2 linked regions of the Saccharomyces cerevisiae S288C genome follow. The protein of the gene in region 2 purifies or fractionates together with the protein of the main gene of each other region. This does not show direct contact. Each region holds a gene or a part of one and is shown on either strand. Other genes may lie near its edges. The genes, in order: RNR2 and WTM2.

Region 1 (3,682 bases), on a different chromosome or scaffold from region 2:
ACACATTATCTTATAAGGGGACACCATTTTTTTGAATGAGCCCTGTGAGAGTAATTCATTGCATTGTATGTAACTGTCTGTCAATATCTTTAAATTTTGGAAAAGAGTCAAAGAGTGGGTGAGGTTTTTCTTGGCAATGTCCAGGTACGAGATACCTTCTGTCAGATTCGATATCGTCAACTCGGTGGAGGCTGAGACATCTTGAGTTTCTTTGAAATCTTGGAAAACTTTCCTCAGAGAAGCCTCTATTTCAGCGGAATTTTTAGGGTGTTCCTTCAATTCATTCTCTTCTTTGAGAATATCCTCTTGCAATTGCTTTTTGTAGCTTCTGGTAATACTGATCAGTTCATCTATGTTGTTCAGGGATTCTTTTGAAAAAAGTATATTGGTAATATCTTCCAGCGGGTCATAATCTACCGTACCTTCCAGCATTGTCCTTCTGAGAAAACAAAAATGGAAGATGTTGTGAAAATGCAGTAAGTGACAATAAGCTAGCGACTTTTCAATGATCGCAGATTAAGTATATATACACTTTAGGTCTCCTTCTCTTCTTTACTAGCTACGAAAAAACAAAGAAAAAAAAAACAAAATAGAGGGAAAAAAGATATACGTATAAAAATATGCTCCAGGGGAGGTTCGAACTCTCGACCTTCAGATTATGAGACTGACGCTCTTCCTACTGAGCTACTGAAGCACTATTTCTTGTTCCAACCGAGGAATAATACTAGACCTGTAGAAAAGTACCGCTTATCTAATATCCAACTTTTTCTTCTGTTCCCTTTAGTGAATTCAAGATGAAGGAACATAACAGAACGGAAAACAAAAAAAAAGGGAAGAAAAAAGATATCACCACCAATTGGCACGCTCGCAACGGTTTCGGGCCAGATTCATGGCCCTGTGGGGTAGAAGTGCCTACAGACAAAAAACCGTTACGTCCCGCCTCACCAAGCATCGACACACAAGCCCTCTCAACCTCCTTAATTTCTTTATCTTTTTTTCCCTTCACCTCTGTGCTCTTTTTTTAGCCACAGCTGTGCATTACGCTTGCTTTGCTTGTTTTGTTCTCTTTCGCCATGCCATATTACTACTTTTCTACTTACTGGCACGAGGCCGCGCAAGCCAGATCCAAGCACGCCAGAAAGTGCGGTGTACTGGTGCAACCTTTTATCGATTTCTCATCATATCGCTATCGCAACGGGCATGGGCGACGAAAAAGCCAATCTAAAGCGTTGTCTTCCTCGTTCCTCGCGCACGCGATTTTGCGTTCTGCATAGGAAGCCGAAGTCGAACAAGAAGCAGGCAAAGTTTAGAGCACTGCCCCTCCGCACTCAAAAAAGAAAAAACTAGGAGGAAAATAAAATTCTCAACCACACAAACACATAAACACATACAAATACAAATACAAGCTTATTTACTTGACATCGCGCGATCTTCCACTATTCAGCGCCGTCCGCCCTCTCTCGTGTTTTTTGTTTACGCGACAACTATGCGAAATCCGGAGCAACGGGCAACCGTTTGGGGAAAGACCACACCCACGCGCGATCGCCATGGCAACGAGGTCGCACACGCCCCACACCCAGACCTCCCTGCGAGCGGGCATGGGTACAATGTCCCCGTTGCCACAGAGACCACTTCGTAGCACAGCGCAGAGCGTAGCGTGTTGTTGCTGCTGACAAAAGAAAATTTTTCTTAGCAAAGCAAAGGAGGGGAAGCACGGGCAGATAGCACCGTACCATACCCTTGGAAACTCGAAATGAACGAAGCAGGAAATGAGAGAATGAGAGTTTTGTAGGTATATATAGCGGTAGTGTTTGCGCGTTACCATCATCTTCTGGATCTATCTATTGTTCTTTTCCTCATCACTTTCCCCTTTTTCGCTCTTCTTCTTGTCTTTTATTTCTTTCTTTTTTTTAATTGTTCCCTCGATTGGCTATCTACCAAAGAATCCAAACTTAATACACGTATTTATTTGTCCAATTACCATGCCTAAAGAGACCCCTTCCAAAGCTGCTGCCGATGCATTGTCCGACTTGGAAATCAAAGATTCCAAGTCCAACCTTAACAAGGAATTGGAGACATTGAGAGAGGAAAACAGAGTAAAGTCAGACATGCTTAAGGAGAAATTGAGCAAGGACGCTGAAAATCACAAGGCTTACTTGAAATCTCATCAAGTTCACCGTCACAAACTTAAGGAAATGGAAAAGGAGGAACCTTTGTTGAATGAAGACAAGGAGAGAACTGTTCTTTTCCCTATCAAGTACCATGAAATCTGGCAAGCCTACAAGCGTGCCGAAGCTTCTTTCTGGACCGCTGAAGAAATTGATTTGTCTAAGGATATCCATGACTGGAACAACAGAATGAACGAAAACGAGAGATTTTTCATTTCCAGAGTTCTTGCCTTTTTCGCCGCTTCTGACGGTATTGTTAATGAAAACTTGGTTGAAAACTTCTCCACCGAAGTCCAAATTCCAGAGGCAAAGAGTTTCTACGGTTTCCAAATCATGATTGAAAATATTCACTCTGAAACTTACTCCTTGTTGATCGATACTTACATCAAGGACCCTAAAGAAAGTGAATTCTTGTTCAATGCCATTCACACCATCCCAGAAATCGGTGAGAAGGCCGAATGGGCTTTAAGATGGATTCAAGACGCTGACGCCTTGTTTGGTGAAAGACTAGTTGCCTTTGCCTCCATTGAAGGTGTCTTTTTCTCCGGTTCCTTTGCCTCCATTTTCTGGTTGAAAAAGAGAGGTATGATGCCCGGTTTAACCTTTTCCAACGAATTGATCTGTAGAGACGAAGGTTTGCACACCGACTTTGCATGCTTGTTGTTCGCCCATTTGAAGAACAAACCAGACCCAGCCATTGTTGAAAAAATTGTCACCGAGGCTGTGGAAATTGAACAAAGATACTTCTTGGACGCCTTACCAGTTGCTTTGCTAGGTATGAACGCTGACTTAATGAACCAATACGTTGAGTTCGTCGCCGACAGACTGTTGGTTGCTTTCGGTAACAAGAAATACTACAAGGTCGAAAACCCCTTCGATTTCATGGAAAACATCTCCTTGGCCGGTAAGACCAACTTCTTCGAAAAGAGAGTTTCTGACTACCAAAAGGCTGGTGTTATGTCCAAGTCGACTAAGCAAGAAGCCGGTGCTTTCACCTTCAACGAAGACTTTTAAGAGTATCTCTCTATATATTTCTTTTTACGCAGTCTCTTCAATCTCTTTATGTGGGCTTTCGCACCTCTTATTTATATATATATATATACACTGAATCATATAAACTTTTTTTTATATTGAATCTAATATATTATCAAACGGAAACTTCGGCTGAATTTCATACGTATATTGATTAAAGTGGAAAGGGCATCGGAAAAGTAAGAAAAGCTTAAAAAAATTGAAAAAAAAAAAAAAAAAAATAAAAAATAAAAAATAAAAAAACCTATACAATACATACATATGTATATGAATATAAACCTGGAACGATGTGTCTTTAAAAATAGTTGAACGAACTACTCGGACATACCCCTACATCACTTAAGGATGTCTACTTTCATAAGAGGTCCCATCTGCGGTACAGACAACTGCCCCTCACGGCTTTGGCGTATCATTGATGGGAGAAGAACCTGCCAATATGGTCACGTTATGGAAGGTGACGTGGAATTTAACGACGATGAAGA
Region 2 (4,225 bases):
ACTGCATGGAAAAGGAAAAGGTAAAAAAAAGCCCCGAAATGGTACTCTTAAATATGAGATGATAAACGAGGATTCGAAGGAAAATAGCCCAACTATCTACGAGTTGAAATTAAAAGGGAGTAGTGAGCGCCACTATGTGTGCTCACTGTGTATAGCTAAGCAATTACATAAGGGATAGTACATAAACCACCGTATGTTAGGAAAGAGGAAAAAAAGGAAAGACAAAGGTCTTTTGCCTATTGTATGACTTAGCCTTTCTTTGTTATACCCCGGCGCGTTCCAAAAAGGGAAGCCAGCACAGCACCGCATATTGAATACCGCCTTCTCACGTGGTACAGGCACAACTATCTTGCATGTGCCTCTGGGTCTTTCTTAGCGACAGCCTTTTAAGATTCTGAATTGTAAACATCGAGCTTCATCCGAGAAACGAAAGAGGGAATCTTGAAATGGACTATGTCACCATTAGATCCTCCCTCTTCTCCATATAGCCGGTTTTTGTCTTATTTCTTTGCTGGAAAGAAAAAAAAGAAATTGCTTGGTTAATTACTGGTAACCCTCTTTTCTTGAGGCCTTACTTCGTTGGCTTCAGAAATCTGAAAGAGTCTTTATTAGGAGCGATACCAGTATCTATACAACATTATACCATCACTATATATTACAAAAAAAAAAATAACCCCGATAGCGTGCTAGAAATGAATAAAAAAAAAAAAAACAGAATTATGTACGTGAATGCTTGTGAGTTACTGCCTTTCCCATAGGTGGTAACGTTAATTTCTTACTCTTTTTTTTTTTTAATCGTCGTAACCTCTGCCAATGAAGTCACTGGCCAGAAATGGTTTGTAGGCAGTAACAAGACTATCTGAATCAACAGTGCCAACAAAATCATTGATTACGGGGTGTAGCGCCACAGTGTTCCTCTTCCCGAATTGGTTGCTCGATCTTCTTGTGCCACCTGTGTGGAAAAATTTTAAACATTGACCCTGAAGTTCCTCCGGAGCAGCCACTCGAACTTCGTCTTCGTTGTCATCGTCGTTTCTTGAAAAAGAGTACTCCATGTCCCAGTGGTAGACATTACCCGTTCCTCCAACCGTAACAAATTCTGTTGCAGAGGTTTGTGAGAACAGGATATCGACAACGGAATCGCCGCCAGAATGGAACAACTTGGCTATTTCGTTTTGGATCGGTTCCTCGCCGTTCTGCCTATGTGTGAGGTCAGTAGTAGCCAGTTGCACAGCACGCGCATCCCATAGCTTGATGACACCCGTGCTGAACCCAGTGACAAATAGGTTTTCAGTAACTTGAGAGGAATCGAAGGACGTTAGTCGTCCATTTTTCGGTTCGCTTAGCGTCCAAAGCGGTTTGTCCGCTGTTCTTGTGTCCCAGAATCTTAAAATGTTGTCATCTGAACAAGATGCAAATAAATGGTTGTTAAAAAATCTAACTGAGTGAGCCACGTTGGTCCCTGGAACGTGCACTGTACGTAATATATCTCCCGGTCTATCGGAGTTGTCGATGATTTTCAAGATGCTGTCCTCCTCGTAGCCGTTACTTTGTGACTTTACTACCGTATCCATATTTGTCGACACATCAAAATCTGACACTGCTAATGAACCTGGTCTGGTTAGAGAGTGAATACTAGAGTATCTAGTAGCAGGGCCCATCATTTCCTGTACGATATGAACGGGAACCTTGATCTCATCTCTGAACCATGCCAAAGAGCCGTTCTTGGACATCGCGATCGCCGTACTGTCGTCTGAGCTTTCCAAGTATTGCATTTTTGCCACTGTTTCGCCCTGGTAAATCCACTTTGGGCGCAATGGTTTCCCCTCAACATCTTGGAAAGCATCACCATACTCTGGATTTGGGGTGGCTGCAGACTTCGTCTTGCCGTTACCTTCTTCGTCGTCGTCGTCGTTGTCGTCGTCGTCGTCGTCGTCATAGAATGTCTTTAATGGTAAAGTAGTGTCTATTTCGTAAATATCACTACCTTGAGAATATAAAAGACTAGTCGTCAAGGTGCCCTTGGATTTGTCTGGAATAATCTCACTTCTCCATGTCAGTGTCTTGCTAAAATGTAAAACATCGTCGACTCTTGTGCTGAATTGTGGTTTAAAGCTAGAAATGTGTTGGTATAAAGAAGGTGCCGGTTTACGGCGTGCTCCACTCGCACCCTGACTGGATTTGCTTTTCGCCATCCTCTATCCTTTTTAGTTCTTGCTCCCGTCGCTACTAATTGCTCCTTGTCTTATAAGTAAATGTAGCTGTACAGCAGAGATGTTCCATACGTCAGCTAACTAATTGCCTTTAATCTTTTTTTTTTTTATTTTTTTTTTTTTTCAAAAACAATAGAATTGAAGATGTGAGATGGAAAGGGAAATCAAAGTGCCATAAATGGTAAAGGCTTGCATTATGACCCGAATGGGTAAGAATGATCCAATGAGAGTCTGCGGACGCATATGTGCGGAATATGACTTAGCAGTTCGAACCCCGAACGGGGCTAAAAAACCAAAAGGACAAACCTTATGCGGAACATCTACCATCTATTCAAGGGAGTATAGCTTCCGTGTAGACTATAGAAGAAGCGTTCCAGTCAATTCTACTACATCAGTCTTCCGACATCGCTGATTGTATCCTAACCAGGTCCACAACTAAAATTTGTTTTGAAAAGAGTGGCTAGAGAGCGAATACGTGCTCTGTAATTGTGTGAGGCAAGTTGGTCGTCAATTGGAAAATAAGTAAGGAAAACCTTGTGTAGATTGTATTGCTCCTAACAGGTCCCGAATTACTAGGGCATATACCAGTTAGCCCAGAGTTTTGTTTATTACGATGATAAAGTTGCATGAAGTGCCTCCAGAACCAGTAGACCCTGCTAGTCTCCCTCATGATGTTAATGCACATAGCCCCGAAGGAGATGGTAATCCTGATAAGAGGAAAAAAATATTTGGCATTCCGTATCCTTTTTCCAGGAGTTCATGTCGGAGATTCCTTTGGAACTGTCAAAAGATTTCGGTACTGCCCATGGCATTGTATTTCCCACTACATGCAGCAAATACATTAATCACGCCGGCAGTATCACCTGATTCTGCTCCTGACGACGTTTTAATGATGGTGAGAGAGATTTTACCGTCCATAACTACCAAGCTGTTAGTTGCGGGTATTACTCTTCATGTTTCTGCTGGTGTCTTGCTCCGAATCGTGAACAACTGGAACAAGCCAAGAAGAAATAGACATCGACATTTAAAGATATCGGCCGAACAAGATCTATCCCAAGATTCGATTGGTTTAACTGGTGGAATTTCTGGCTATTTATTTGGATTGTATAAGACCTTCCGCATTCCTCCACAAGTGATTAGTGGATACATCCTTGTTCCCGTCCTGATATACCACTTATTAATTATGAAATGGGTGCCGAATTCCATCTCTACTGAGGTGGATTTCGCCTCTATAAAGCAATTACTATCTAGCAAGAACAGGTGGTGGAAATGGCTTGGAGGCCTGGTGCCGTTAGCTATTCTCCTCGAGTCAGGTGTATATCATATAGGTTCGGGGCTCTGCCGTTATTTCGGTGTTAGAAAAATGACTAGCAGGAAAAAATGGTCCACAGCTATCAATCTATTAACACTCGTTGGGTTCGTTTCTCTGATTAGATTGATGAAAGAGGATTCTACGAAACTGGGTCCCAACCAATTCGAAAGCATTTTCAAAAAGATCCGGTTGCTGTTGCACGTGAATTAGGAATCCTTGTGGGAGTAGTGTGAAGCTATTAATTTGCGACAATTCTCGAACAGTTAATTATATTATTCTCAGTATTTATTTTAAATTTCTGTATTTTTATCTGATTAATAACATTAGTGTGCATAATGAAGGCAAAAAATTTCGGCAGAAAGTATATGATTATGAAAAAACGTAAAATACATATACACATAAAACGTACATACATATATAGATTCCTAAGAATACATTATTGATGGGATATTTATACAAAGATGCACCTTCTAATAATCGAAAGAGAAAGGAAAGACAGAAGCATAAAATAATTTAGGTTTTACTGTGACGAACATTAGACAGATCGTTCAATAGTTTGTCATATTTTTTTGTCACTGTTTCATCTTCAACAAGGGGCCTCTGCAAAGGCGCCTTTTGTTGTGATTCTTGTAAACTGTCATTACTCGGGCTTCTAGAGTTCAATTCATCTCCATATAATGATTCCAATCCAACCTTTTCA

What was found.
Region 1: the proteins of WTM2 (region 2) and RNR2 purify together in Saccharomyces cerevisiae (affinity purification with mass spectrometry; 4 studies listed by BioGRID, with this or other methods). This does not show direct contact.

Annotation. Positions count from the first base shown.
Region 1 is NC_001142.9:390,422-394,103, forward strand, and holds RNR2 (ribonucleotide-diphosphate reductase subunit RNR2), read left to right. Parts: upstream 1-1,982; coding exon 1,983-3,182; downstream 3,183-3,682. Other genes in the region: VPS53 (Vps53p), read right to left, coding at 1-432; YJL028W (uncharacterized protein), read left to right, coding at 890-1,225; YJL027C (uncharacterized protein), read right to left, coding at 1,412-1,828; RRN7 (Rrn7p), read left to right, coding at 3,546-3,682. UniProt on the Saccharomyces cerevisiae protein: Provides the precursors necessary for DNA synthesis. Catalyzes the biosynthesis of deoxyribonucleotides from the corresponding ribonucleotides. RNR2 provides the diiron-tyrosyl radical center.
Region 2 is NC_001147.6:766,379-770,603, reverse strand, and holds WTM2 (transcriptional modulator), read right to left. Parts: upstream 2,196-4,225; coding exon 792-2,195; downstream 1-791. Other genes in the region: MCP1 (Mcp1p), read left to right, coding at 2,827-3,735; HER1 (Her1p), read right to left, coding at 4,039-4,225. UniProt on the Saccharomyces cerevisiae protein: Transcriptional modulator with roles in meiotic regulation and silencing.